Linked DNA regions of Callithrix jacchus. The protein of the gene in region 1 binds, or shares a complex with, the protein of each later gene. Links are inferred from orthologs where the notes say so. Each region holds a gene or a part of one and is shown in the gene's direction. Other genes may lie near its edges. The genes, in order: TMEM126B, TMEM186, ACAD9 and ECSIT.

Region 1 (7,906 bases):
TGGGGTTTAGAAACCGTAAGTTCTAAGCTTCCTAATTAACCTGCTTAGTTAAGTTATACTTAGAATATCAATTGAGCTTCCTCTTCCTCCTTCCCACATACCTTTTTATCCTTTATCCCTCTCTCTGCTTCCCCCTTCCCATTCTCTCTCCCTCTCACTCTTTTCCTCTCTCTCTCTCACTCTCTCTCTCTCTCTCTCTCTCTCTCACACACACACACACACACACACACACACACAATGTATTTAATTTCATTATTAGTTCAAATTAAGGTAATACAGAAGAAACTCTCTACAGAAATGGTAGAAAGAATAAAAACACACATCAAGTTAAATAAGTCAAAGAGCCGTATCATTTATTGGCTACATTCCCAAAACCATTCTTGTTGTAGATAAACCAATTCTGTCTGATCTGAACAGGTGTGGCTTCAAAATCTCAGAGAGAGTTTACTTCTGTCACTGGTACTATTAGAAACAGCAGGGAGAGGAAACAGTCCCAATCTTAAATCTCAGTGTGCAAAAATCACAATTCTAGGTGTTCCAAAATTTTATATAACATTGTCCGTCTCTACAAACTTGGATAAGGCATCTCAGTGATTATAATTTTTCTCAACATCCCTAACAAATCCACAGGTAGAAGAATTAAACAATATGCAGACATAAGTTTTACTTTACCCAACAATTCACCCAGAGCTTTAGTTTCATATTGAACCAACTCATGTAACTGGACAACATTTGGATCTGTATTAGCCCAGTGCAGCAGAGTTCAAAGATGTTCATATAAATGTTGATTCAAAACTCTTGAGAAACTCTTTACATTTGATCTCATCTTTCATATCGGATCAAAACAAAACAAAATTAAAATACCACCAAACTGCTAAATTGGTTTGGCAAACAAGTCCCAAACTAGAATCCTTTCGAACTAAGTTAACCTGGAGTACATCTAAGCTAAATTGAATTCCCAAGGTCGGATTATAATCAACTATGCTTTAGGAATTCACTAGATCTTGATCAATTCAAATAATAAAAGTTGTTGAGGAGGAAGGAAAAAAAATTGGTGTTCACCCCATTTGGGGAACTTGCCAGTCATGTTATTGGATAATGCATGTATCTGGAAAAGCGCAATAGTCATGGAAGTTGTGTTTTATCATAAAAGTAAAGATTTACACTAAAATAAATCCAAATAAGAAGTCTATTGTTTAACCAAAAGATAAATGATAAAGCTATAATTTTGTTCAGTGCAAACTAAATTACTTTGCTATCTTTCTCAACTCTGTAATTAGCTTGATAAACATTAAACCCATAAGGAAGAGCTCCACTGTACAAGTTTCTTTTTTAAAGACTGCTTAAAAGTAACCTTTAACAAGCTAAGAAAACCAGCTAAAGAAGATTCCAAATCTGCGGTAATAAATCTATTCTTATTACAAATGGTAATATAAACAACCTGATTTATGAATTTAAATGTCTATCAATAAATACTATACTCCTACTTCCTTTTACTTTAGCAAAATATTACTGAATGATGTACCAATGAAACTGTATTACAATAAACATTAGCCCCAACTGAAGAAAAACTTTACTCTCAAATGGAATATAATTTAAATTACAAGTACCAGAACCAAGAAAAGGGAGAAATATTATATAGGAACCTCATAGCCCACCTTTCTTCTTGACTGGCATTCTTGGGTCTTTTCACTGCCACAGGATTCAAGATCTCTTTTCAAGTCTCAGTTTGATCCAACTGGATTGAGGCCAAGAGCCAGGTAACTGTTGCAAAACACTTCACTGATCAGTTTTGAAATCCAGGCTGAGTCTTCTATGTCAGACAAAGAAAATAATGATGTATTTTTCCCACAACTAAACTTCATACACTGCCCAGAGTTTGCAGAAAAGTAATTTTTGAGTTTTTCAAGTTTTTCAATTTTTAGACTGTTTTTAAAAACTGGGAAAATTATTGTAAACATAAAAAACGTTACTGAAATTCCTCTTCACTCAGCAACATTTTTGGAAGTTCAATAACTAACTCAATTAAGGCACAAACCAAATTTACACAGCTGTCTCATTACTTTATACATGGTCAAATTCAAAGATGATGATAAGCATCCCCAAATCTGTAGAGAAAAATTTAACCCCCACCTCCCAAAAAATACTTTTAAAAACCTCTTTGACTCCAGTCTCTAAAAAGGTAGGTGAGTTTGAACAGCTTTCTGGGGCAGAACACACACTGAAAGGCCCCCTTCTATTTACTGATCAGAAGTTTCAGATCTCACCCTCTCAGTAACTCAGGATCCAGCCTGCTGTCACTTTCATTTTTTTCTTCTGTGCTCTCCAAGCCCCCAGGCTTGATCCTTTAATGCCCCTCTGATTCTGATCCTCCCATGTATTAACCAAGAGGATTGAAAAAAAGGAAAGCAATCCCTTGGCATGGAGACATTAAAGTGACAGTGCTACTCAATGGGCACTTGATGCAGGATGAGTTGGCGAAGGAGACTTCTTCACACTGGAGTCATTCACATTATGCCATCTCTTCGCATACAAGCAGCTCCCTATCCGGCAAGGAAAAACACTGAAACTTCAAGAGAAGCCAAACCTTCTCCCAGAGGTGTTTTCAGAGACGCCGTAGTAGTATTAGACATGTAAGCATAAGCTATGCAAACGGTCCGCGATTTCCTAAATGAGAAAGTGCAGCTGCTTGGTTTTCACATCCACCTTTTCTCTCAATCTCTCTTCAAACTACCCACCTTCCTTTTGCAGAAAAGACAGGACATTTCTCTGACACCGCTGGCCACCCCTGCCCAAGCCCCGTTCTTTTAGGGAAGAGCACTGAAATGTCCTGCACCCTTCACGCGATGAAGTGTTTCCTCAGGCAGGAGCAACAGCAGCACTAGAAATTATATAACTCTCGAATTTGGCTTTTCTAAGATATGGAGACTGGAGGGTCGGGGGTTGCCGGTCTGGGAGATACTGCTGGGCATTTAAGCGCACAAAATAGCGTCAGGCCTTGCAGTGCCCCCTACCCCAAGACACGGCTGACAAACGGGTCTTCTCGGGGGGTAGGGAGCAAATTTCTCTACGGTCTCTTTCCAAGCGGGGCTTAAGCATGGAAATGAGGGGACTACAGACTGGGGAGAGGAGTCAGACGGCTGAGAGGGGAGGAGGCTAGTCGGGGCTGCTTTGACGGCATTCGGCTGCTGGTTGGGGGTTTTGAGGAGGAGGTGCCCGAGAAGCAGAGCTTTAACACACAGGCCAGGTCAAAGGGGCGAGTTCCCTCAAGGACTGAAAGGGGCAGGCAGCTAGTTCCCAGCTAACAGAGCTGCCCTGAGGAGAGGCAGGAGCGCAGCAACATTCCAAAATTCGGGCCGCCCCATCTTACCCGCAGGACGCGGGGAGAGGCGGTAGCTAGACTGACAAATAGCAAGAGGAGGAAATACTCGGCTGGCGAGCGGGGCGGGCCCGCAGGCATCTGGACCTCTTCTAAGCAAATGAGTGGCCGTAATTTCCAGATTCCGCGCCCAATCACAGTCAGGATGGAGGGCGCGGCTTTTGACTGAGTGGGGGCCGGCCCGGGCTGCAAGCGAGACGCGTGAGCCGTAAATCAGCACCACTTCCCTCCCAGGGCGTTCTGGGTCCCCGCCCCCTTGCAAGTCACGTGAGTCATCAAAATGGCGGCGCTCGGGTATGAGGCTGGGGCTAAGTTGGATTCAGGTGTGGAGCCGGTGGGAGCTGAGGAAGCGCCCAAGGTAGGCGGAAACCCGAAGTGGTATAGTGGGGGTGATTTCTGCAGCTTCAAAGTGTTGGCAGACTCTTCTAAGATGATACATGTAAAGGAGATTTGAAACGTTAAAGAACACAGCTCCCAAGTCCATGCAAGGAGCAGTCGATTTAAGTCTCCAGTTGCTGTGGAAAGAGGCGGAGAGAACGTAGAAGACCTAAAGTCAAGTCCTCATTATCTGCAGTTTGTTTTCTCTTGTCTCCAGGTCTTTGCAAAGGCCTTTTCTTCAACTTGGAATATTTTCCTGCTTCTATCCATCCCAACTCCTGTGGCAAATTGTTCTCTTTCGGGCATTGGTTTAAATGCCACTTCCTCGGGGAAGCCTTCCCATGCTTCCTCTGGCTAGATCGTTTGCCTTTTCTTGGTTTGTTGGGTTTTTTGTTTATGTCGCTCTCTCATTCTGCGTTTAAATTGTTCTAAACCCTCACTACATTGTGGATTCCCAAGGATGGGATTACCGGGAGGCCTGGCATATACCAGGTACTCCCTAAATGATGAGCGAACATTCAATGAAATTCTAAAGTTTAGGTGAAATAATAAACCTGAAAGCACTACAAAACCGTCAAATGCTTTGCAAACTATAAACCTACATATATGCAGTCTTACTGGTATAAATGTGGTGATTAGTTGAGTGGCCTTAAAAGGGGAGGGGTGTAATGAAAGCAGTTGATCTTCGACAGTGCCTTGGAAAGCTTAAGCACTTAATAAATATTTCCTGTGTTGTTTTCAGCATTTAGTATTTGCTGTCCTGTAATCATAATCCTGGGTGTTTTCCCTATAGAGATTTTAGGGTGTAGACTAGGTAGGAGATTAGTAGAGGATGTTGCCTGAAAGTTTGTTTTGTTTTTCGTTTTTGGTGGGAGGTGGGGGACTTCAATGAATTGGATGAGAGCAAAACAAAAATTTATCTAAGGTTTATGGTTACTCATGTTATTGGCATCTGCCCTTTTAGTACAATAGATGGGTTAGGTATACAACCTCCCTTAGATGTTACTATCTCTTATACTTTACATTTGGGTGTCAGGGAGAGGCAAAAGATTAAGTCTAGTCCCTGAAAATTTGTAATCTGTAAAATATTTTACCTTTTTTCCCCCTGCCCTCTCCAGAAATGTTACAGAAAAAGATCGAGTACAGTTGTGCAATGATGCAGAGAAAGAAACTGGTCCATTATTACTCCCTGTGTAACACCATGAGAAAGTTCAAAGGAGCCCATACCTTCTGTATGTTGATGCCAGGAGCAGGAGCTGTGGATAATTAGCTGGCCCTTCTATAGTTAGGACTGGAACATACTGCTCATTCAGCAAATGAGTATTACAGTGATATTCAACGTATGTCCATTGACTACAGCATCAGAAACCCTTGGTGCTATTAAAATGGAGAGTCTAGGCCTCATTCTACTGTTACGGAATCCAGTTATCTCAGGAGGGAGTTCATGAGACTGCATTTCAAATAAATACGCCACATGATTCTTGTGCATGCTGAAGGTTGAGAACCACTGATTTATTAAGTATCTTCTGTGTTCATTATGCTTCATCCACTCTAATTCTCTTGCCTAGGACTCCTTAAATTTGAGATTTAGTATTTGCCTTTAATATAAACATTAAAATTGGGATTAGTGTAAATTTGTGAAGAGGCTGTTTGGCTAATCCAGATGAAAAAGAGTAAGAAGCAGTGAACTTAGCATCAATAGACCTTCCACTTGCTGCTGTAGTAGGTAAACATTTGCAGCCACATGTTTGGATTTAACAAATGTTATTAAGACTTCACAGAGACCGTAGAGTCTTGCCCAGAGCAAAACTTCAGAAAGGATCCTGTCTGAGAGTGCAGGGTTTGCTTTTTTGTTGTTTTGTTTTTTAACCTCTCTAGTTTCTGTTAAGATGCTACTGGCCAAATCTTCATGGTCCCTTGACATTGGCAGCTGTCTATTTATCACACTTAGGACACAAGAACCTTACAACCGAGGAGCCCAGTGCCATGGGCCTCTGCTCTGGCACATGCCCATTTCTCACAAAGGCTCTGCTTCCACCACAGATGCTAATAGGGAACGGGATATATAATTTATGTACTCCAAAGTAGTAGCCACCATCCACTGCCTGTTCCCTTTCTGGAGCAGTGCCCCTCTTTCTGATTTTCTCTCTCGCTGTTCTCCAAGGCAATCCCTGCTCTCTGCTACCTCTCCAGGAAATACAGCACTATTTCCAAAATAAGCGCAGTCTTTCATGAGAAACTGGGGATAAAGATGTCAATAAGCAGCCACTGTTTCCACTTCCCCACCTGAAGAACTAGGACAACTACAAAGGGCCTGACTACCTTCTTGGAATCAGGAGAGGAGAAAACTAAGGAAAACAGAAACAGTATCAGTATGTCATTCTTCTACACTAAATCTTAAGGCAAGCGAACCTTTCAGAACCTCAGTTTTCTCATCTGTATAGAGATAATCATCATACTACCAATTTCTTGGGTTAGTGTGTGAATCAGAAAGCCAGTATCTGTGCATTGTAGGGTGTTTAGCAAGAAAAAATATATATAACAAAAAGCCAGTGTCTAACAGATAATAAGAACTCACTAAATATTGATTGAATTATTAACATAAAGTATGTGAAAGCAGCTGACATAGTACCTGGCACACTACTAAACTATAAATGTTTTTAAATCTGAATCTATAAATTCTGTAAGGAATTATTAATATTAACATCATTAGCTATTATGGCTCTGGAATTTTCTTTTCCAGGATGTCAAGATGACAGCATATATGCATGGTCAGCCGAGTCCTTTTCTAGAAGACGCAAAACTCAGAAGACCAATGATCATAGAAATCATAGAAAAAAAATATGAATGTCTTAAAAAAGAAATGTAAGAGAAATACCCAGGCTGAAAGTCAGTCATTTTATTTGCAAGTTTTTTATATTGCCGTTGTTTCTGAGATCCAATTCTTTGTTATTTATTCTGTTATCTAAGATTCTGTTCTTTGTGTTGGTTATGAAGAACACATCTTTTAAAAAAAGAATGGGGAAAACAAGAAGAGATGAAAATAGTGGTTTGTTGGAATATTTGGGTTTGTGGATAATTTCTTTTGTTTCTTAAAAGTATCCAAAAGTATTGCTAAAACATTTATGTACTAAATATATTTTAATTAAAAGTAATTAGGAGAAAATCCTTTGGGGGGGCTTATATTTAATTGGTGAATAATTATAATCAGTTTAGGATTGATTATCTCAGTCACAGTACTTAGTACAGCAAAAGGGAATACAGATTCCGTGGTATAAATACAGTGTCACATTACCATTTTGACTTTCTTTTTTTTTTGAAATGGAGTCTCATTCTGTCACCCAGGCTGGAGTACAGTGGTGCGATCTGGGCTCACCACAATCTCCATCTCCTGGGTTCAGGTGATTTTCTTGCCTCAGCCTCCTAAGTAGCTGGGATTACAGGCATGTACTACTACTACCACACAGCTAACTTTTGTATTTTTAGTAGAGATTGTTTCACCATGTTGGCCAAACTGGCCATTTGGACTTTTAAATGAACAGAGTTCAATAATAAAATCAAAGGACAATTGATCTTAGTTTCTGGATTTAGGTATGGGTTTTGTTTTTTTTTTTTCTTTTTGAGATGGAGTCTTGCTCTGTCACCCAGACTGGAGTGCACCGCAGTCTCTGCTCACTGCAGCCTCTGCCTCCTGGGTTCAAGCGATTCTGCCTCAGCCTTCTGAGTAGCTGGGAATACAGGTGCATGCCACCACGCCTGACTAATGTTTTGTGTTTTTAGTAGAGATGGGGTTTCTCGGTGTTAGCCAGGTTGGTCTTGATCTCCTGACCTCATGATCCACTCTCCTCTGCCTCCCAAAGTGCTAGGATTACAGGCGTGAACCACCGCGCTCGGCCATAGCTATGGGTCTTAATAAGAAAACTAGATCAGATTTTTTTAGATGAAGTTTTGTAAAATCTTGGACAAATTATTTTAAATGTATCTGGACTAATGAAGAAATGGAAGGCCTAACCAAATGTAAACAGCTTTCTTTTTTTAGATGAACTTAAAGTAAATCTTTTTAGTCACAGAAAAGGTACTCTTGGATTTGGGTAGCTCATAAAATTTGACTACATTGGAACATATTTATATTTATTTGTGGCCAAAATT
Region 2 (7,698 bases), on another chromosome or scaffold:
GACAGGAATTGGCAAAGTTGACAAGAACCAATGTCCTGAGGCCCAGGGACTTGTATAAGGTCGGCTATGTAAAACTGAGGAGGTTGGTCTTCACTGGGTCTGTTTCCTTATGTTTACAATAGTAATAACTATTCTACCTGGGAAGAAAGATGGAGGAAGGCTGAGAGGGTCCAGTGATACCAAGAAAAAGAGTCGGCAATGTAAATCCTAGACCACAACGGCCCACAGACCAAATTGGGAAGCTGTTGGTTTTTGTAACAAATAAAATTTTATTGCTCCTGCCTCAGCCTCCCAAGTAGCTGGGATTACAGGCACCTGCCACCACGCCCAGCTCCTGCCCCAACCTCCCAAGTAGCTGGGATTACAGGCACCTGCTGCCACGCCCAGCTCCTGCCCCAGCCTCCCAAGAAGCTGGGATTACTGGCACCTGCCATCATGCCTGGCTAATTTCTGTATTTTTAGTAGAAACAGAGTTTTGCCATGTTGGCCAGCCTAGTTTTTATAGGGTTTATGGCTGGTTGTGCACTGAAGCTGAGTGGTTACTATAGGCCATATGGTCTGCAAAGACAAAAGGATCCGCTATATAAAAATGAATCAGGGACTGCAGTTTTAAACCACTATGGGCTTTTTTGAGAGGGTGTCTCCCTCAGTTTCCCAACCTGGCATGATCTTGGCTCACTGCAATCTCCACCTCCTAGGTTCAAGCAATTCTCTTGCCTCAGCCTCCCTAGTAGCTGGGACTACAGGCGCATGCGGCCACACCTAACTTTTTGTAATTTTTTTTTCTTTTTTTTTTTAGTAGAGACGGGTTTCACCATGTTGCCTAGGCTGGTCGTGAACTCCTAAGCTCAGGCAATCTACCCACCTCAGCCACCAAAAGTGCTGAGACTACAGGCGTGAGCCACCCTGTCCGGCCTGCACTATGGGCTTTTAACAACACACAAGTGTGTGACTGCTGAATCTCAGTCAGTAAAAGCCGTTGAGGAACTTGGGAGTTGAGTGTCAGCACTAGGTGGATCAAACCTGTGACTGAGAAGTGCAACTGATGTCTAAGGTCATGGGCATTTGACGTGGACTTCTGGAGCACACCACCATTACCACCAGCGAAAAACTACGAGGGATGAGGGTAGAAAGTGAGGACAGTGAGGCCACTAGGGTCCAGTCTCAAGTTCAAATGGCCGGTGTGCAGTGACCAATTTCTGAAAAGGGGACAGAAGAGCCTCATCTCAAGGGTGATTGTAACTGAAACTTATCTGTGCCTGCAGCAGCAATATCTGGAAGTGGAAAGCACGTTTCCAAGGCCCTAAAGTGGGTCTCAGCAGGCAGCCTTTAATAACCTAGGGGTCCTCCATTTCCCGAGTCCACTGCAGGGGCTGGAGATGGGTGCGGTGGAGGTGGCTGTTTATTGAAGCCTAGTGTGTTATGTGCAATATAATTTCAAGAATTTATGTAATCTCATCTGAACCTCACAGACACCATATGGCACAGGGGGTAATATCCCCATTTAAAGCTGAAGATGAGGTCAGGCGTGGTGGCTCATGCCTGTAATCCCAGCACTTTGGGAGGCTGACGCGAGTGATCACCTGAGGTCAGGAATTTGAGACCAGTCTGGTCCACATGGTGAAACCCTGTCTCTACTAAAAATATAAAAATTAGCATGGCGTGGTGGCAGGTGCCTGTAATCCCAGCTACTTGGGAAGCTGAGGCAGGACCCGGGCGTGGCGGCAGGTGCCTGTAATCCCAGCTACTTGGGAGGCTGAGGTAGGACCCGGGCGTGGCGGTAGGTGCGTGTAATTCCAGCTACTTCGGAGGCTGAGGCAGGAGAATTGCTTGAACCTGTGAGGCGGAGGTTACAGCAGTGAGCCGAGGTCGCCCCATTGCACTCTAGCCTGGGAGACAAAAGCGAAAACTCCTATAAAAAAAAAAAAAAAAGCTGTAGATGCTGAAGCTCAGAGACATTAATGACTTGCTCAAGGTCACACAGCTGTCAAGAGGTGAAGACGAGACTCCACTAGGTCGGTTTGACCTGGAAACCTTTTAAAAATATTATTCACGGCACAGCTCATTGGTTACAGGACTGAGAATGTCTGTAACATAGCTGAAAAGGGGGCTTGATCTCGGGTACAAATCCTGGTCCAACAGTCCCGAGGACCAGCCGTGAATCCAGATTGCATTTTCCGACCCAGCACAAGTTTCTTGCTCTTAGGAGTTCTTCAGCCCCGTCTCATCTCTCCAAGCACCAAGAGCTCTTGAAGAGCTGGTCAGAGCTTCACTCTCATTCCTCCAGGACACCCCGAGTAGGGTTCAGCCCCCATGAACACTTCTGCGGTCCTCAGCTACCCCTTGGCGCCCACCCTGGGTGGTCGATAACTTCAACTGGGAACAGCACGGGCTCCGTCTCGGCTGCTACCGCCACTTACCTGCCGCGGAGCGGTGAGGGTCCCATCCACGTCGAAGAGGCAGAGCGCTGGGCCGGGACCTGCCATATCCCCAGTTTCTAGCTGCTCCTGACGAGACTCGTTGGCACCAGGAGCTCAGCCCGGAACTTCCGGGTTCGGCCCCCGAGCTGCAGGGCACGTCGGGAAGAGGAGACTCTGTTCCCACAATGCCTGGGACTAGCGCCAGCCACGATTCCTGGACCGCAACTCCCAGAGTGCAACGCGGTCACGCCCGCCTTGTACGTTCGAGCATGCCCTCTTAGAGGTTCCGGGGACCGGTGGCATTTACTTCCGGCAGCAGGCGGTGGGACAATGGTAAGGAGGCGGGTGACGAGCCTTGTTTTGGGGATCGGGGTCAGAGCTGGGGCAGGCAGACAAGACGCCCTACTGTCGGACTCGGAGAATCCCTAGTAGGAGGCTTCAGCGTGGGTTACAGTTCGCCATTCCCCCGGCTTTCTCTGACCTCCTTGGGTCACGTGCGCAGCAGTAGTACTCGCTAAAACTGGCCAGGCTCTCACAGTGCATCAGGTACTAAGTTGAGGGCTCTAAACCATCTTCTGGTTCACTGTGTTCTGAGTCCCCATTTTGAAAGGTGAAGAAACGGAAGCTCAGGGGTGTGAAGGAAGTAATTTGCTCAAGAATCCACAGGCAGTGACTGTTGGAGCCAGAACCGGAACCAGAACTTTTACTGCCTCGTTACTCACCTAATAATATCCTTGTGCTATGTGTTGGGGCCTTCCTGCTTCTCTCCTCCTCCTCTGCTATTTCTGCTTCCCCAGACTAGGCTAAGAAAGCAGCAGTTTCCTCTAGCACCCAAGATGACATATAAATCAAACAGAATTGGAAAGTTATTGGGATAAATATTTCACAGATTTGTTGCTCAAGTTCCCCACTAAGACACTGATTATTTAGTATCCTGCTTGGGGAAATGTTCACAACCCCTTTTGGATCCATTGTCCAGCCCAGAGTTGGTCCTGCCTAGATAGGTTGTGAGTTAATGAAGGCTGTACCTCTTTTCCTATATTTATTTGGAATTGCCTGGTGAAAAGAGGCCCGGTTTGAGAGTCGGACTCTGCTGCACTCACTGACTATGTTTGGGTAAACATCTTACCCTCTCTGGGCTTAGTTTCCCTAGTGGTAAAGTGGAAATAGGGATACCTATCTTAGGTAGCTGTTGTGTTGCTCACATGAGGTAGCATCTGGCTTTACCCTTTCCTTCTCTGGCAATAATGGTGACCTTGCAGGATTGGCAAAAGCCTTGGAGTGAGATGCTTTGCAGATGTTTACCGTGTGATTAATGTGGTTGAGTTCCATAAGAGAAATGGTCTACTATCTCCCTTTCAGGCTGCCCTTCTCCGAGCTGTGCCTAGGTTTCCAGGAAAAACTGCATGGGGACGGCCTCTCCATGGGCTGTGGTGGTGCTGCAGTGGGCAGGAGGATCCTAAGAGGTGGCTGGGGAGCACGTCACCCACCTCAAAGGAGAAACCACCAGACACAGAGACTGAGAAATTCCGGATGTTTTACCGTTTTGATGCCATCAGATCCTTCGGGTACCTGTCTCGACTGAAGTTGGCACAGACTGCCCTGACAGTGATAGCTTTGCCACCAGGCTATTACTGGTACTCCCAGGGCCTCCTGACTCTCAAGTCCCTTTGCATCATGAATGGGGTGTCATGCTTTGCTCTGGCCATGCTCTGCTGGATGAGCTATTTCCTTCGGAGACTGGTTGGCATCCTGTATCTGAACGAGTCTGGCACCATACTGCGGGTGGCCCACCTGAACTTCTGGGGCTGGCGGCAGGACACATACTGTCCCGTGGAAGATGTGATACCCCTGACAGAAACCAAGGACTGCCCTGAGGAGCTGTTCATGCGTATCCAGCAGTACAGTGGGAAACAGACCTTCTACCTTACCCTACGCCACGGACGCATCCTGGACAAAGAGTGTTTCACACAGGTGTTTGGGGCGCTGCAGATATTCAAGTAAACAACTGGGAGCTGGACCTCTGGGTAATTCTGGGTTGCCTGGATTGACAGGAAGGCCGAGGGTGTGCGCAAGATTGAAGAAAGGGGATTGAGTACTTGGAGACTTTCCTGGGCCCCTGGGAACATGTGTTTTGTGATGTAGAAATTTACAAGGTGAGATTTGGTGTCCAGGTTTAGGAAAAAGGCTCTAAATGCAAGTTCTTTTTTTTTCTTTTCATTTTTTGAGATGGAGTTCGTTCTTTTCCCCAAGCTGGAGTGGTGTGAACTCAGCTTATTCAGTCTCCGCCTTCCAGGTTCAAGCGCTTCTCCCACCTCAGCCTCCCGAGTAGCTGGGACTACAGGTGCTCGCCACCACACCTGGCTAACTTTTTTGGTATTTTTAGTAGAGACGGGGTTTCATTATGTTGGCCAGGCTGGTCTCAAATTCCTGACCTCTTGATCCATCTGCCTCGGCCTCCCAAAGTGCAGGGATTACAGGTGTAAGCCACCGCACCCGGCTAAGTGCAAGTTCTGATAGCACTTGTGTGTGACATTCAGTCAGATAATGGCTGGAGGTTTCTGTTAGGAGCCAGTTATTAAAGGAACCTATGCCAAGGTCACCCAGACAGTCCATTGCTGTGAAATGGGAAGGCAAAGAGGTGTGGCAGGGGAGTGTAGAATTTGGAGCCAGAAGTCTCAGTTCTGTTACTTGTCCTGGCAAAGAGGTTATTGAGCCTCTTTGAACCTCCATCTATAAAATGGAAAGTCTTCTTGTTGCATGGGATGGGTGTGGGAATAAACAATAAATGTCAAAATTTTTGCGGACTCAACAGCCCAGAGCAGATATTAAGCATTTGTATAGAGGTTTCAGCATGGAGAAAGACTTTGAGCAGTCACTAGCGACATCCAGAACTCTGTGCTGTGCCCCCTCACATGTCCAGCGGCAGAAGGGACTACCAGAAGGGACTGTTAACTACACATCAATGAGCAGAGATGTCATCCAGGTGAGCACAAAACCCCACCCAGAGGTCTAGAGACTCTTGCTTTGGATGGCCCTGCAGTGTAATAAAGCCAGATGGACGTATGCTGGTACACTGTTTTATAAACTAAAGCCAGTTATATACACTGCTCTGCATAATTAATAATATGTTCATTATACAATCCGTAACACAGTCAAGAGGAAGGAAGGCGCGACCTTTATGATTTCGCCACTCAAAAGTCAGTAACAATATTTTATTGTATAGCCTTTCATTTTTCTTAACCATAGCAAGATACACCTAACAAATATATCTTTTTTGTTATTTTGAGAAGGAGTTTCGTTATTGTTGCCCAGGCTGGAGTGCAATGGCAAGATCTTGGCTTACCACAACCTCTGCCTCCAGGGTTCAAACAATTCTCCTGCCTCAGCCTCCCAAGTAGCTGGGGTTACAGGCATGAGCCACCACGCCTGGCTAATTTTGTATTTTGAGTAGAGACAGGGTTTCTCCATGTTGGTCAGGTTGGTCTCAAACCTCCGACCTCAGGTGATCCGCCTGCCTTGACCTCTCAAAGTGCTGGGGTTACAGGCATCAGCCACTGCACCCGGCCTTTCACTGTGATGCTTCTATCCTGTGCTTGCATCTTGCCTCACTCGCCAGTCTGTTTTGACAGCAGTCAAAGCGATCCTTAAAAATACAATCACCTCACTGTGCTATGAAGGTTGATGGCCTAATCCACCCTCCCCTTTCCTCCCTCATCCGCAACTCTGTGGAGATCATTTCCCCAGGTCACGCTGGCCTTGCTGTTCTCCAGTAATCAAGGATGATCCAGCCTCAAAGTCTTTGCATTGACAGTTCGTCTGCCTGGAAAGCTTTCTCCCTGGATACCTGCAAAGAGAACTAACTGCCTTCCATTCAGTGTCTTCCCTGTATAACAGGTTGTACTATTTATGCTCAAGAAGTATGGTGAAGATTCAATTATATAGAAGAGACGCGTACACAGCAGTTACACATGGCTGTTCGTTCCTTCTATACTTCACCTTCACCTGCCTGTCAGTTCCTTCAGTGACTGTGAATCTTTTTCCCATGAAGATATATAGCCTGTGGCTAAAAAATGTCTTAAGAATTCCTAATGATTTCACCTTAACCTCATTGAAACCAGAAATTCTCTCTTTGTTGGGCTAGTTGTGAGAAATGACGTGAGTGAGTCCCACCCTGGGATATTCTGATTATGTCTGGGGTAGGTCCCCAGGATTTATCTTTTTGACCCACTTGAAGCCAATTCTGAGATTTAGGCAGGCTGGGAATTTCTGAAATAAACAACTAGAACAGAAGACACCAGAGTGTTATGTGCTTCTGTGAACTTTGTGTTCCTGGGCCAATTTTCTGCCTAAAGAATAGGTTCTTAACACTGGCTTATTTGTAGAATCTCCTGGAGAGTGTTTTTAAAACCCCATTGTCGAAGCTCATGACCAGGCATTTCCATTTTCACGGTTCCCTGGGTGATTCTAATATGCAGCCAGGATTGACCATCGCTGCCCCTGAAGTCTCACCACACTCTTAAGTCACCACGCTGTTAAGTCTACAAGGGCTTGTCTTGGGAGGTGAGATGCCAGATTCTCACTCCTGCAGGTATTCCATGTGCGGTCTGCTCATGCAGTACCAGCAGAGCGCACACAGAGCAAACGCATTGTTTCAACCCCTTATCCCTGAGCTAAAATCACACATCTCCACCAAGGACAGGAAATGTGTTAGGGCTTCTGTCATGTACCAGTTAGGGTAGTACCTGAGAGCTGCCCCCAAACAACTAAAGTCAACCACATAAGCAGTAAAAGTCCAGGCACAGTGGCTCACGCCTGTAATCCCAACACTTTGGGAGGCCGAGGTGGACAGATCACTTGAGACCAGAAGTTTGAGACTGGCCTGGGCAACATGGTGAAACCCCATCTCTACTAAAATGCAAAAAATTAGCTAAGTGTAGGGCACATGCCTGTAGTCCCACCTACTCGGGAAGCTGAGGTGAGAGGATCACTTGAGCCCGAGGGGCAGAGATTGCAGTGAGCTGAAATTGCACCGTGGCACTGCAGTCTGGGTGACAGAGTGGGATCCTGTCTGAAAAGAACAAAAATATAAGTGCCCAATCCTTGTTGAATCTGGTAGAACCTGGGCATCTGTTTGTTTATGCTTCCCAGGTAATTCTAAGGCACCCCAAGCTTTGAGAATCACCCAAACCCATGCAATAGATGGCAAAGCTGCTTCTTAGAAAATGGGAGTTGCCTTTAGATTTGGGTGGTGAATATATTGGCAGTTCTGCCTTTA
Region 3 (7,106 bases), on another chromosome or scaffold:
GTTCACGTAGGGGTTTGGTTTTCTCCAAAGTCCTTCTTTCTGTCCTCAGGTCTGGATTACCAATGGAGGACTGGCCAGTATTTTTACTGTGTTTGCAAAGACTGAGGTCGTTGATTCTGATGGATCAGTGAAAGACAAAATCACAGCATTCATAGTAGAAAGAGACTTTGGTGGAGTCACTAATGGGAAACCTGAAGATAAGTTAGGCATTCGGGGTTCCAACAGTAAGTAGAGTGTGTGTGTGGTTGTGTGTGTGTGTTAGGGGGAGACTTGCTCTTTACTGTGTCCAAATAGCATTCAGGGGTGTGTGTGTGTGTGTGTGTGTGAGAGAGAGAGAGAGAGAGAGAGGGAGGGAGGGAGAGACTGGTCTTTGACTCTGTCCAAATAGCAAGACAAAATGAGATTTAAATACTTTCAGTTTTTGTTAAGCATTTTAAAGATCAAATTAAGAGTGCCACATGGGCTTTGTCTTTGTTCCCACAGCCAAGTGCTGCTCACTTGAAGGCCTGGTGGTCATCTCCTACTGTGGCAGCCCTTGTGGACAGACCACCTTAGAGCTCAGCTTACAGCCCCCAGCCTTGAGTTGTCTCAGTCTGCAGGTGCCTGGCAGCCTGCTTCAGGCTGTGGGTTGGATTTAGGTCCATCTGGAGGCTTATTCTTAAGCAGACCCAAGGGGCCAAGCCAAACCATATAAGTACTTTTTTGTCGGAGGAGACAGATTCTCCCTCTGTCACCCAGGCTGGAGTGCAGTGATGTGATCTCATCTCACTGCAACCTCTGCCTCCTGGGTTCCAGCAATTCTCCTGCCTCACCTTCCCAAGTAGTTGGGACTATAGGTGTGTACCACCACACCTGACCAATTTTTGTGTTTTTTGTAGAGACAGGGTTTCACCATGTTGCCCAGGCTTGTATCAAATTTCTGAGCTCAGGTGCAATCTATCCACCTCAGCCTCCCAGAGTGCTAGGATTACAGGTGTGAGTCACTGTGCCTGGCCACCTTTTTTTTTTTTTTTTTTTTTTTTTTAAATAGAGGTTTTGCTATGTTGTCAGGCTGGTCTTGAACACCTGGGTTCAAGTGATCCTCCCACCTCTGCCTCCCAAAATGCTGGCTTTAGAGGCATGAGCCACCACACCCGACCCTAAAAGCACATTTAAGCCCTCTGTTTGTGTTGACTCAGCTCTATTCCAGTGGCCACAGCAAGTCACATGGTCATACCTAGCCGACAGGGAACGGGAGGGAGGTCTACCCCTCCCCACAGTGGGAGAGTGCTACAGTTAGATTGCAGGGGTGTGGTTGTGTTAGAGTTAAGAATTGACACCAGTGGTCTCAGTCTACCCTGAGACCCTAGGAAATGCTGTTCTCTCCCTCGCTTTGCTTGTTCTGGCTCTTTATATGCCTGGCTCTTTTCATTTTTTAAACTTCTGCTAAATGCCACCTTACAAAAGTCTGACATAGCCCTTAGTAAAAATATTATCCATCCCCTTGCCAACCTCCATTTCTCCTTACCGTGTTTCCCTGTTTATTTCATCCATTGCACTGATGACAATATTACATTGTTTTGTTTATAGTTTATCTCCCTAACCAAAGTATGAACTCCACAAAGGCAGGAACTTTGTCTTTCTATACTCTCCTACCAAATGTTGGACGGACGGGCGGATGGATGAATTGCCTGCTTTTGCAGGTCAAATGCAGAGTGGTTTGCATTGTCAGATGAGATCTTAAATTTCATGTGTTTCAGCCTGCGAAGTCCATTTTGAAGACACCAAGGTACCTGTGGAAAACGTCCTTGGAGAGGTCGGAGGTGGGTTTAAGGTGAGTTGCCAGCCAGTACTGTGTAGTGTCTCAAGCGCGACTTGTCGGCCCCCAGCTTTTGCCCCATCCTTGCTTGTAGCAGAGCAGCCTGTGCTTGACAGGTGACTTTGCATGGTTATCTGTTGGGAAGTCAGAAATGGAGACTGGAAAATTGGCTGGCTCCTAGGAGGAGTATGTGGTAAAGTTGGGAATCTTTCTTCACCTCGAGCAGAGTCTAGGATCCCCTTCCACAGCGGGTGTGAGAAAGAAACCCGTGGGCTCTGGTGAAGCTCAAGCTGTGTATCTCCCTCCCTGCCCTACTCTTCTTTTTAGACTAAAATGAAATATTTTTATCAAGAGATGATTCATATAACAAAGGACTCACCATTTTAAAACGTGTATTTCAGTGGTTTTTAGTATATTCACTATGTTGTTCAAATACTTCCTGTGCCTAATTGCAGAACATTCCCTTATCCTATAAAGAAACGTTGTACTGTCCAGTAAGACCCTTACCCATCCCTTGGCTGCTACTCTTTTACTTTATGTCCTTATGGATTTGCATGTTCGGAACATTTCATAGAAATACAGTCATATGCAAGATCCAGTCTTTGGTGACAGGCTTCTCTCACATAGTGTGATGTTTTCAAGGTTCATCTCTCTTGTAGCATGAATAAGTAATTCATTCCTTTTATGGCTAAATTATCTTTTGTTGAGTGGAGATAGCACATTTTGTTCATCCATTCACCAGCTGATGGGCATTGGGTTGTTAGCACTTTTGGCTGCTATCAATAATGAACATTCATGTCAAGTTTTTGTGTGGAAATATGTTTTCAGTTATTTTGCTTTATACCTAAATGTAGAATTTCTAGTGGGCCCAAGTTAGTCTGGAACTCCTGGGTTCAAGTGATCCTCCTGCCTTGGCCTCCCAAAATGCTGGTACTACAGGTGGGAGCCACCATGCCCAGCTCTGGCATGTTCCTTTGGAATAACGTTCAGTGGTCTTTCTTGTGTGCGGGGACATTGGTAGAGCTGCAACTGTGAGTGAACTACTTAGTTCCGAGATGTTAGGACAGTGCTTTCTCCCAGCCCGAGGGAAGGCAAGCTGATCCGTTTGCCTGGTCTGGTAAAGGTAGACGTGTGGTTATGGCCTCCTCCCCCTGCCTCCTTCAGGGCCCCTGGGCTCTCCCTTTCTCCCTGCAGGTGGCCATGGACATCCTCAACAGTGGCCGGTTCAGTATGGGCAGCGCTGTGGCTGGGATGCTCAAGAGATTGATTGGTAGGTAAGTCAGGGACAAGACCCTTTGTGTTCCACTTCCTGCTGCCCCGGCTCCATCCCTGGAGGCTCTGCCATTCCCCCGGCCACTTCCAGGCTGGTGCTGAACTAGGCCACCTCCACTGAGGGTCTAGCCTGAGCTCCGTCCATGGGCTTTTGTGGAGACCAGAGGGTCTCCTCAGCCTGCCCCTGAATTGGTTATCTTCGAATTCCTCTGTTTCACTTCCACACGGGATGGGGATGGGGGAAGGGGCTTTCTGTCTGGCGCGAGAGGAATAGGGGCAGAGCTGCTTGGTAAGCACGTACCATGAGCCAGGCTCCCAGGACACATGGCCTCTGGTGCCCAAGGTTCACGCTGCCTCAGTGACTGCATGGTGTGTGGGGAGTGGTTTGGAACCCAGGTCCCTGGGCCTCTGGATCTTTTTTTGTTCTGTTCTGTCAGGATACCTGAAACCTCCATTTTCCTTTGCCAGTGAGCTTAGAACAACCCTGTAACCATCCTGTCTGTTGTGGAAGCATCTGTGAGGAAATGGGAATGCCTGGGATGGCACATCCCTAAGTGCTTTATGAAGCTCCTCTTTGGATGCCAGGCTCTGGGCCGGCCTCTTTTGGGCCAAGATGGGCATACTTGTTTTGGTTTACCTCCATTTTAGAGATGAGAAGACAGAGGCTCAGAGAGGGCAACTGGACCCAAAACTAAAGCTCTCAGGCTCCAGGCTCAGGGCTTTTCTCACTTGCAAGTCCTCTGGGGAACTCAGCCCTGTTCACCTCCTGAGTGCGCCACACCTGGGAGAGCCTGTGGAGAACATAGCTACGGGCGGCAGGTGGTGGTGGTGAGGTGCTTCTGCCTGGGAGAGGCGCCATCTAATTCATGGGCCCTCAGAGCTCAGCACTTGGTCACAACCACATGCCTGGAAGTCCCAGCCTGAGTATTCAAGCCGGGCAGCCCCACCTGCTTTGGTCAGGAGCACTGTGCGCTGGGTTTGGGCCTGCACCGCCTCTCTCTGGGGCTTCTGTGCCTGGCTTTGTGTGAGGAGCCTTCTGCCTTCCACCTGGTTGCATCTTCAGGGAGGTGACATGCTTGGCCCAGGCCACTGGCTGTAAGAACCATTGCCAGGATTCAAGTCTGTATCTGATGCTAAACTGTAGATTCCATTAGGAGGGGTGGTTCTCCTCTGACCCATGGGTGCTGACAAGTGGAGTTACTAGCTTCTGGGGCATTTGATCTCAGCAGACATGCTTCTCATAGTGCCTGCCTGTGGGAAGGGTAAGGATGATGGCCATAGGAAATTATGTTTCAATAACAAAAGTTCCAGTTCTTTCTAATGACTCTGCTCTTCCTCAGAAATGACTGCTGAGTATGCCTGCACAAGGAAACAGTTTAACAAGAGACTCAGCGAATTTGGATTGATTCAGGTATAGACAGTTGAGTGCTGTCTTTGTGGATTTCACTGTGTGACATGACTGTGTTCTTTTGATGTCTGTACTGGTGACTCTTCTGTGGTGATTTGGGAAGAAGACTAGTTAAGGCTTTATTTAACAAGGGTCGCTGGGCTTGCTTTTCTTGGGCATTCAGGATTCTGACTTAATTACCTTCTCTCCTGTTCTGAAGATTTGGCTCTCAGCACATGCAAATTGCTTCTTGTGTTTTTTTCTGAATACTCCAGGAGAAGTTTGCACTGATGGCTCAGAAGGCTTATGCCATGGAGAGTATGACCTACCTCACAGCAGGGATGCTAGACCAACCGGGCTTTCCCGACTGCTCCATTGAGGCGGCCATGGTGAAGGTAACAGTGGCATAGCCAGAGAGCTGGCGCTGGAGGGAGGCTTGGGAAAGCTCCCTCACTGTGACCTTTCAAGCCTATGCTGTTGCCTATCATCTTCCTCCTGTCATTGATCCAGTATTTATGATGCACTAGCCCTGTGCAGCACTCCAGGGATAGACAGGCAGTGGGCGGGGAGCTGCAGCAGCAGGGAAGTGACTGGTGAGCAGCAGTTTGTAGGAAGGCTCCATGCTCCCACAGTGCAGTTTCTACCAAGCTTTTGCCAGTGGATCAGCAGTTTATAGCAGAAGGAGACCATTCTGTTAACGTCCTTTTAGAATAATAACATTGCAGCTGGCTTTTGTGAGAAGAACTTTTTTCCTTAATTTATGGCCTTCCTACTTTTTGGTTTCAAAACGTCCTCTTAAAAACTAAATATATGGCAAGGCATGGTGGCTCACGCCTATAATCCCAGCACTTTTGGAGGCTGAAGTGGGTGGATCACAGAGGTCTAGAGTTCGAGACCAGCCTGGCCAACATGATGAAACCCCATCTCTACTAAAAATAGAAAAAAATAGCCGGGCAAGGTGGCGGGCACCTGTAGTCCCAGCCACTTGGAAGGCTGAGGCAGGAGAATCGCTTGAACCCAGGGAGCAGAGGTTGCAGTGAGCCGAGGTCGTGCCACTGCACTCCAGCCTGGGCAACAAGAGTGAACTCCATCTCAAAAAAAAAAAAAAAAACAACTAAGTATACGAGCCTGGGCAACATGGCAAAACTCCATCTCTACAAAAAAATACAAAAATCAGCTGTCGTGGTGGTACACACCTGTACTTGGGAGGCTGAGGTGGGAAGATTATCTTATTTGGTTGAGGTAGATACTAGAGTTTTCTGTTGCTTTTGTTTTGTTCACGGTGGAGGGTATCATTTTTCGCTGTGTAAAAAAGATGGCTACCCTTTGGGGGACCCTACTTTGGTGCCCCCAACAATTGTTTTTAAGCTGGAATTGAGCTCCTGAGAGAAATGGTGAGAGGTATAGCAGTTTAGAGAAGTGAACATTCTGGTATCAGCAGGTGAGTCTACCTATAAGGTTGGGATCCTGAAGTGGGAAGGTCCCTAAAAAAAATAAAAAAATTTTTAAAAAAAGGTTGGGCATCTTGGGTGGCATTTGAGTCTTTTCTCATTGCAGCCTGCATACTGGGTGCATTTGCATGTGTTGTATCACCTCGTCGTCTTGTCACCCATGAACAGTGACCACAGACATTAGCTTGCTGTGGGCCAGCCTCTTCCATATGCTAAGCCTAGAGCTTAATATGGCAGTATGTCTGCCCCCAAGGTGCTCATAGTGTGCGGAGACAGAAGGAAGTCATGCCACCAGGGCTGGGCAGGAACAGGTCAGGCTTTCTGGGGAAGGGAAGATGTTAAATGGGTTTTAAAGAAAGAGGAGCTCAGCCAGGTACAGAGGGGTGAAGGTGGGCCCAGAAGATCATGGTGGGGTGGGGATCACAAGCTGGCCAGTGTGGTCAAGGAAGGCAAAGGACTTGCCCACATCACCCCTCGAGTTCCTCCCTGGCTGATGTCCTCCCCAAGTCTGGGTGCCTCCCATGCCTCCCCAGCCACCCAGATCCCTGTAGCATAGGTCCTCCTTTTGGAAGGGAATCAGTGTGACATCCCGTGCTGACCTTGCCCTGGGCCCACAGGTATTCAGCTCTGAGGCTGCCTGGCAGTGTGTGAATGAGGCGCTGCAGATCTTTGGGGGCTTGGGCTACATGAGGGACTCTGTGTACGAGCGCATGCTGCGCGACACCCGCATCCTCCTCATCTTCGAGGTGAGTGGCCCTGCTACCAGCTAGGCTGTTCTCCACCCCCACCTTGCCTGGTCCTAAAGAAGCTGCTCAGGGCCTTGCAGAGGTCTCCGAAGTGGTCCCCACAGCCCAGGGCTGGATTGCATGCTCTGATTGGCTCTCAAGGGCTCTGCTAGCCCTGGCATGTCTCATTCCCAGTTGCTGCCCTCCATGAAGTCACAAGACTGAAGAGTTGGTTCAGTTAGCACGTGCCAGGTGGTAGAGGAGGGAATTAGGCCACAGAGACTTTGGGTGCTGTGTTCTGATTGTGCTGACCAAAGGAGATGACAGAGTGCAAGTACAAAGAGGCAGGGAGTGGGCATCCTCCAGAGGCAGCCAGAGTTTTCTGCAGCGCGTGTTCCTGGCCCTTAGGGGCAGAAAGAAGGGGCTTTGACAAGGGCTGGGGGGCGGGCAGGGCAATGTGTTCTGAAGGGTAG
Region 4 (7,811 bases), on another chromosome or scaffold:
AGTCTATAATAGTCCCTGGGTCTTTCAGGACCTTGACACTTTTGAAGAGTGCTGGTCAGTTATTTTGTAGACGTCTTTCAGATTGGTGTGTCTTGAATAAACTGAGGTGTTTGCATTACTAGTAAGAATACCAGAGAGGTGATGATGTACCCTTCTAAGTGGGTCATACTAAGGGCTTCATGATATCACCATGACTCATTGCTGGAGATATTACTGTTGGTCCCTTGGTTAAGGTGGTGTCTGCCAGGATCTTCCACAAGTGAAGCTGTTATTTTTTGTAGGGTTCCTCTGGGACTGCATGTTAAAGACTCTGTACCAGGGCCTCACATAGAGTAGGGTGCTCTGTGTTAATATATCAGTACATAAAATATGTACTGTATGTACATAAACAAATACTTGTTTTTTGTTTTATTTTGAGACGGAGTCTTGCTCTGTCATCCAGTTGCAATGCAGTGGCAGTCTCGGCTCACTGAAACCTCTGCTGCCCAGGTTCAATTCCCCTGTCTCAGTCTCCCAAGTGGCTGGGATTATAGGCGCCTGACACCACGCCCAGATAATTTTTTTGTATTTTAGTAGAGACGGGGTTTCACCATGTTGGCCAGGATGGTCTCAATCTCCTGTCCTTGTGATCTGCCCGCCTTGGCCTCCCAAAGTGCTGGGATTACAGGCATGAGCCACGGTGGCCGGCCCCAGACCTGTTTTTTTCCCTTTATTTTTTTTTTGAGACAGAGTCTTGCTCTGTCGCCAGGCACTAGGCTGGAGTGTAGTGGTGTCAAGCAGTTCTGCTTTAGCCTCCCGAGTAGCTGGGATTACAGGCACACACCACCACACCTGGCTAATTTTTGTATTTTTAGTAGAGACCTTGTTGCCCAGGCTGGAGTACAGTGGCACGATCTCGGTTCACTGCAACCTCTGCCTCCCGGATTCGAGCAATTCTCCTGCCTCAGCCTCCCAAGTAGCTGGGACTACAGGTGCACACCACCATGCCCAGCTAATTTTTGTATTTTTTTTAGTAGAGATGGGGTTTCATCATGTTGGCCAGGATGGTCTTGACCCCTTGACCTCGTGATCCACCTGCATTGGCCTCCCAAAGTGCTGGGATTACAGGCGTGAGCCACCGCACCCGGCCATACTCGTTTTTAAAAAGACTACCGGCCTGGTGTGGTAGCTCATGCTTGTAATCCCAGCACTTTAGAAGGCCAAGACAGGGGATCAGTGGACCCCAAGAGTTTGAGACAAACCTTGGTAACATAGTGAGACCCCATTTCTATTTTAAAATAATAATAATAGCTGGGCACGGTGGCTCATGCCTATAATCTCAACACTTTGGGAGGTCAAGTCAGATGGCTCATGAGGTTAAGAGTTTGAGACCAGCCTGGCCAACATGGTGAAACCCCATCTCTACTAAGAACATAAAAATTAGCTGGTTATGGTGGTGTGTGCCTGTAATCTCAGCTACTTGGAGGCTGAGGCAGCAGAATCTCTTGAACCCGGGAGACAGAGGTTGCAGTGAGCTGAGATTATGCCACTGCACTCCAGCCTGGGCAACAAAGCAAGACTCTGTCTCAGAAAAAAAAAATAATAATAATGATTGGGCATGGTGGCGAATGCCTGTAATCCCAGCCCTTTGGGAGGCTAAAGCAGGAGGATCACTCGAGCCCAAGAGTTTGAGACCAGCTTGGGCAACACGATGAAACTCCGTCTCTACTAAAAATACAAAAATTAGCCAGGTGTGGTGGTGCGTGCCTGTAATCCCAGCTACCCCGGAGGCTAAAGCAGAACTGCTTGAACGCAGGAGGCGGAAGTTGCAGTGAGCCGAGATTGCACGACTGCACTCTAACCTGGGTGACAGAGTCAGACTCCATCTCCAAAAATAATAATAATAAAAAGACTAGTTCTAAAAAATAAATTAAAAAAAAGGAACAAGAGCTATGACCACCTCAAGAGAAGGACACCAGGAATTCTGAAGGCCACAGAGGTCAGCAACTCCATCATCTTACCCACTCCCCAGCTAAGCAGAGCTGCCTGCCTGTTTGTAGCTTCAGGAGTCTGGCAGAGGGCAGTAGGGCGCCCAGTCGCTCCCCACGTGCCTGTCAATTTGCCAGGGAGAAGTGCTCCAGCCAAGCAGCTGATTGGCTACATGTCTTCTGAGATCGCCCAATCACAGGAGTTCTGATGAGGCGGATGTGCTGCGACTGCGCAGAGTCCTTGAGGCATCTTAAGGGTAGGTTCTTGCATCCTAGCCCCCTTGCCACCTCGCTTTGCCACAGAGGCTGAGGGACTGCAGAAATGGGATTATGAGGGCAGATAACCTTCCTTCCCTGGGGCCACTGCTATTGCCAATACCCTTATGTATGTGCTTATCCACCTTAGTTATTAACAGCTGAAAGCTGTCTCTTTCTGGGCGAGACAAGGAGCTCCCACTACTCAATCTCATCTCGTTTTATCACATTTCTTCCTCAGTGACTCCACTCTAACCACACAGAGTCTTTGCTGTTCCTAGTGCCAAAACCGTTTCCCAGATATCCAGATGACTCACTCACTTCCTCCAGGCCTTTACTCAAAGGCCATCTCATTGAGGCCATCCTATTTATTTATGTATTTATTTATTGAGACAGAGTCTCACCCTGTTGCCCAGGCTGGAGTGCAGTGGCACAATCTCGGCTCACTGCACCTCCACTTCCTGGGTTCAAGCAATTCTTGTGCCTCAGCGTCCAGAGTAGCTGGGATCACAGGAGCACACCACCACACCCTGCTAATTATTGTTATTTATTTATTTATTTATTTTTTGAGATGGAATTTCACTTTGTCTCTGAGGTTGGAGTGCAGTGGTGTGATCTTGGCTCACTGCAACCCCCATCTCCTAGGTTCAAGCGATTCTCCTGCTTCAGCCTCCCAAATAGCTGAGATTACAGGCACCCACCACCATACGCTGCTAACTTTGTATTTTTAGTAGAGATGGGGTTTCACCACGTTAGTCAGGTTGGTCTTGAACTCCTGACCTCATGTGACTCGCCTGCCTTGGCCGCCCAAAGTGCTGGGATTATAGGCGTGAACCAACGTGCTTGGCCCTATTTATTATTACTATTTTTAGAAACAGGGTCTCACTCTGCTGCTCACGCTGGAGAGCAGGGGTGCAATCCTGGCTTGCTGTATCCTCAACCTCCAGGGCTCAAGCGATCCTCCCGCTTCAGCCTCCCGAATAGCTGGGACTACAAGCAGGCACCATCATGCCCAGTTAATTTTTAAATTTTTTGCAGATAAGGGGTCTAGCTATATTGCCTAGGCTGGTCTCGAACTCCTGGCCTCCCGAAGTGTTGGGATTACAGGTATGAGCCACCTTGCCGCCCCCTTTAACCTTTAATAGTTCATTTTCTCATTTCAGCCGCGCGGCTGGATTCATAGACATCCCAAGTCCAGCCTCCCGGGCCATTTCAAGGTTCCCAGGCCTGGAGTGCGTCTTACCTCCTTAGAGGTGGGGCCTGGCCCAAGGTCCTTCGCCTTCCTATTGGCGCTTCTAGCGTTGTGGGCGGGATCTATTATACCGCCTTTCTTGATTTGCTGCCTCCCTTGCGGCCCCTGACCCGGACGCTCTCTGGGCCAACATGGCGGCGCCCAGCAAGAAGACAGATCCGGCCTGGAGTCAGCGGCTGACCGCCTGAGTAGGTAGGTCCCGAGCAGGTAGGCGAACCCGAATTGCTGGGCTCCAGGCGGGCCCCTCAGGACCCGGCAGCGCGAGAGAGCAGTCCCGGAGGGACCCAGCTGCAGAGCCAGGGCACCGTGACCTTTCGTAGTGGGGGTGGGGACGCGCTGGGAAAGGCCACCCGCCACACGCCCCCAGTCTCCCGTTTTGCAGATGAAACAGCTGACTCAGATTAAAGTTCTCGCCTCAGATCACGCGTCAAGTCGGCAGCCTGGCAGGAATTGGAATCCATGTCTCCCTATTTCCCCCAGGAGATCCAGAATCCTGGCAGCCGGCTTCAGAGCTGCTGTACCTACACCCTACCTCGGGGTTCAGATTTACAGGTGTTTTGTTGAACTTGAGCTGTTTCCGTTCGATTGATATTTGTTAGGCACCTACCATATACCAGGCACTGTCCTGGGTGCTGGACAGACAGCAATGAGGAAGATAGATAAAAATCTCTCATCTCTTAGGGGAACCAGACTTTGAACAAATTAGAAATAAAAGAAACAGGTGATTTTAGATACTGATCGTTGCTAAAAATACATTAATCGAGTCAGGAAGATCGCTTGAGCCCAGGAGTTCCAGACCAGCCTTGGCAACGTAGCAAGACTCTGTTCTCTACAAAAAATCAAAAAATTACCCGGGCATAGTGGTGCTTGCCTGTAGTTCTAGCTACTCGGGAAGCTTAGGTGGGAGGACTGCTTGAGCCTAGGAGGTCGAGGCTGTAGTGAGCCGTGATTGTGCCACTGCACTCCATCCTGGGCGACAGAGCGGGACTCTGTCTCAGGAAAAAAAAAAAAAAAAAAAAAGAATGCATTAATGAGGGTCAAAGAAGATCTTTCACTGAAATGACTGCAGACAGCTGTGGACAGATGTGGAGGAAAAAAGCTCTAGACAGAGAGAAAAGCAAGTGCAAAGGTTCTGAGATGGGATAAACTTAGTTTCTTTCAGAGACAGGGTAGCTGAAGCTGCCAGTGGTAGGAGTTGAGTTTGGAGGGGTACACCCTGTCTTATTTATTTATTTTTATTTTTTAGAGACAGGATATCATTTCCTCGCCAAGCCTGGAGTACAGTGATGCAATCATACTTCACTGCAGCCTTGAACTCCACAGCTCAAGTGATTCTCCTGCCTCAGGAGACTATATAGCTGGGACTACAGGTGCACACTACCAGGTCCGGCTAAGTTTTTAAAACAATTTTTGTAAAGATCATGTTCTGCTATGTTGCCCAGGCTGGTCTTGGACTCCTGGGCCCAAGTGATCCTCTCCACTTGGCCTTCCAAAGCACTAGGATTATGGGCATTAGCCACTGTTCCTGGCCTATTTATTTTTGAGATGGAGTCTTACTCTGTTGCCCGGGGCTGGAGTGCACTGGTGCGATCTTGGCACACTGTAACCTCCACCTCCTGGGTTCAAGTGATTCTCCTGCCTCAGCTTCCTGAGTAGCTGGGATTACAGGTGCCTGCCATCACACCTGGCTAATTTTTCGTATTTTTAGTAGAGATGGGGTTTCACCATGTTGGCCAGGCTGCTCTTGAACTCCTGACCTTGTGATCCACCCGTCTCGACCTCCCAAAGTGCTGGGATTACAGGTGTGAGCCACTGTGCCTGGCCCCTATTTATTTTTAGAGATAGGATTTCAGTATGTTGCCCAGGCTAGAGTGCAATGGCTAATCACAAGTGCAATCATGGTTCACTGCAACCTCGAACTACTGACCTTAAAGGATCCTCCAGTCTCAGTCTCTTCAGTACCTGGGATGACAGGCATTCGCCACCATGCCTGGATAGTTTTTTTTTTTTTTTTTTTTTTTTAGACAAAGTCTCTCTCTGTTGCCTTTGCTGGAGTGCATTGATACAGTATCGGCTCACTGCAACTTCTGCTTCCCGGGTTCAAGGGATTCTTGTGCCTCAGCCTTCTGAGTAGCTGGGATTACAGGCGTGTGCCATTATCATGCCTGGCTAATTTTTGTATTTTTAGTAGAGACGGGGTTTCATCATGTTGGACAGGCTGGTCTTGAACTCCTGACCCCGTGATTCACCTGCCTTGGACTCCCAAAGTGCTGGGATTACAGGCATGAGCCAATGTGCCCAGTTCCTGATTTTAAATGTGAAATCACTAATTTTAGTTTAAGAGCTCCCTCTGGCTGGGTGCCGTGGCTCATGCCTGTAATTCTAGCACTTTGGGAGGCCAAGATGGGTGGACTGTTAGAGCTCAGGAGTTTGAGACTACCCTGGGCAACATGGTGAAACCCCATTTCTACTAAAATACAAAAAATTAGCTGGCTGTGGTGGTACACACCTATAGTCCCAGCTAGTGAGGAGGCTGAGGTATGAGAATCACTTGAACGAGAGAGGTAGAGGTTGCAATGAGCTGAGATCATGCCGCTTCACTCCAGCCTGGGCAACAGAGCGAGACTCTTTCTCCAAAAAAAAAAAGCTTCCTCTGGCCATAGTGGGGAGAACTGACTGGAGGCAGGAAGGGCAGAAGTGGGAGGCTTGGTAGGTCTCCAAGTCATATATTGAGGCAGTGGGTTCAGATAGAAAGAGGTGCATTTGGGATGGATTTGGAAGTGGTCACCCAGACTAGCTGATGGGTTGAATGGGAGAGTGAGGGACATAGTGGACTCAGAAACGACTCATAGGCTTATGGCTTGAATGGCTAGTAGTAGTGAATGGCTAGCAGTGGTGGTGCAATTGGCTAGGAGGGAGAAGATCAAGTTGAAGCAAGGATATCAGTTTGGAGCAAATTATGTTTGAGATGGGTGGGTATATGCCAAAGTGGCAGTTAGGTGTAGAGGCTGGGCCCCAGTGATTGAGATTAACATTGGGGAGCCATCTGCACACAGATCACCACTTCTCAAACTTTAATGCTCATAGGAGATAGCAGGGACTTTTGTTAAAATACAGATTCGGGCCGGGAGCAGTGGCTTATGCCTGTAATCCCAGCACTTTGGGAGGCTCCTGACTCACCCTCCTGAGTAGCCGGGATTACAGGCGCCTGCCACCATACCCAGCTAATTTTTGTATTTTTAGTAGAGATGGGGTTTTACAACGTTGGCCAGGCTGGTTTCGAACTCCTGACCTCAGGTGTTCCACCCGTCTTGGCCTCCCAAAGTGCTGGGATTATAGGTGTGAGCCACCATACCCAGCCAGCATGGGCATTTTTTAAAGCTCCCTAGATGATTCTAACATGAACAAAGTTTAAGAATCACTAGAGCATATAAAAAGTGAGCTGGGTATGGTGGCGCACACCTGTAGTCCCAGTTACTTGGGAGGCTGAGGCAAGAGACTCGCTTGAACCCAGGAGATGGAGGTTGCAGTGAGCCAAGATCATGCCACTGCACTCCAGCCTGGGTGACTGAATGAGACCATGTCTCAAAACAAAACATCCTTCTGCCTCAGTCTCCCAGTTAGCTAGGACTGCAGTTGTGCTCAAGGGGTCTTTACAAAGTGGTTGGGGCAGCAGCCAAGTTGGAGAATCGGGAAGGAGCCATAGTGTATAGACACCTCTTGGAAGAAGCTTTACTATAAAGGGCACCAAGGTCCAATGTGGTGGCTCATTCCTGTAATCCCAGCACTTTGAGAGGCTGAGGTGGGAATATCGTTTGAGGCCAAGAGTTCAAGACCAGCGTAGGCAACATGGTGAAACCCAGTTTCTACAAAAAATTGAACAACTTAGCTGGGCACGGTCGCGTATACAGGTAGTCTCAGCTACTTGGGAGGCTGAGACAGTGGATGTGAGCACGAGTTTGAGGCTGCAGTGAGCCATGATCATAACACCGTGCTCCAGCCTGGATGACAGAGTGATTGAGACCCTGTCTCAAATAAATAAATCAGTCAGTGGTTCAAAGATGTGAAGCAAAAGCTGGAGGGAGACTTTGAGTCAAGATGGGAGATGCACAGCCTGGCCAACATGGTAGAACCTTGTCTCTACTGAAAATATAAAAAAATTAACCAGGTGTGATGATGCGTGCCTGTACTCCGAGCTACTCGGGAGGCTAAGGCATGAAAATCGCTTGAACCCAGGAGGCCGAGGTTGCAGTAAGCCGAGATTGCGTCACTGCACTCAAGCCTGGGTGACAGAGTGAGGCCTTGTCTCAAAAAAAAAAAAAAAAAAAAAGATGGGG

Evidence for each region.
Region 2: TMEM126B (region 1) and TMEM186 share a complex: the UniProt entries of both Homo sapiens proteins name them as parts of the mitochondrial complex. The link is inferred for Callithrix jacchus from reciprocal best matches to the Homo sapiens genes TMEM126B and TMEM186.
Region 3: TMEM126B (region 1) and ACAD9 share a complex: the UniProt entries of both Homo sapiens proteins name them as parts of the mitochondrial complex. The link is inferred for Callithrix jacchus from reciprocal best matches to the Homo sapiens genes TMEM126B and ACAD9.
Region 4: TMEM126B (region 1) and ECSIT share a complex: the UniProt entries of both Homo sapiens proteins name them as parts of the mitochondrial complex. The link is inferred for Callithrix jacchus from reciprocal best matches to the Homo sapiens genes TMEM126B and ECSIT.

Annotation. Positions count from the first base shown.
Region 1 is NC_133511.1:54,663,229-54,671,134, reverse strand, and holds the start of TMEM126B (complex I assembly factor TMEM126B, mitochondrial), read left to right. Parts: upstream 1-3,646; 5' UTR 3,647-3,659; coding exon 3,660-3,737; exon of another isoform or gene 3,738-6,500; coding exon 6,501-6,622; exon of another isoform or gene 6,623-7,906. Other genes in the region: DLG2 (disks large homolog 2), read right to left, coding at 1,659-1,677. UniProt on the Homo sapiens protein: As part of the MCIA complex, involved in the assembly of the mitochondrial complex I. Participates in constructing the membrane arm of complex I.
Region 2 is NC_133513.1:11,043,388-11,051,085, reverse strand, and holds TMEM186 (transmembrane protein 186), read left to right. Parts: upstream 1-2,725; 5' UTR 2,726-2,750; coding exon 2,751-2,753; intron 2,754-3,782; coding exon 3,783-4,424; 3' UTR 4,425-6,713; downstream 6,714-7,698. Other genes in the region: PMM2 (phosphomannomutase 2), read right to left, coding at 2,421-2,486. UniProt on the Homo sapiens protein: As part of the MCIA complex, required for efficient assembly of the mitochondrial complex I.
Region 3 is NC_133516.1:73,259,757-73,266,862, reverse strand, and holds part of ACAD9 (complex I assembly factor ACAD9, mitochondrial), read left to right. Parts: intron 1-49; coding exon 50-224; intron 225-1,739; coding exon 1,740-1,813; intron 1,814-2,992; coding exon 2,993-3,068; intron 3,069-4,410; coding exon 4,411-4,481; intron 4,482-4,732; coding exon 4,733-4,852; intron 4,853-6,525; coding exon 6,526-6,654; intron 6,655-7,106. UniProt on the Homo sapiens protein: As part of the MCIA complex, primarily participates in the assembly of the mitochondrial complex I and therefore plays a role in oxidative phosphorylation.
Region 4 is NC_133523.1:10,666,395-10,674,205, reverse strand, and holds the start of ECSIT (evolutionarily conserved signaling intermediate in Toll pathway, mitochondrial), read left to right. Parts: upstream 1-3,581; 5' UTR 3,582-3,666; intron 3,667-7,811.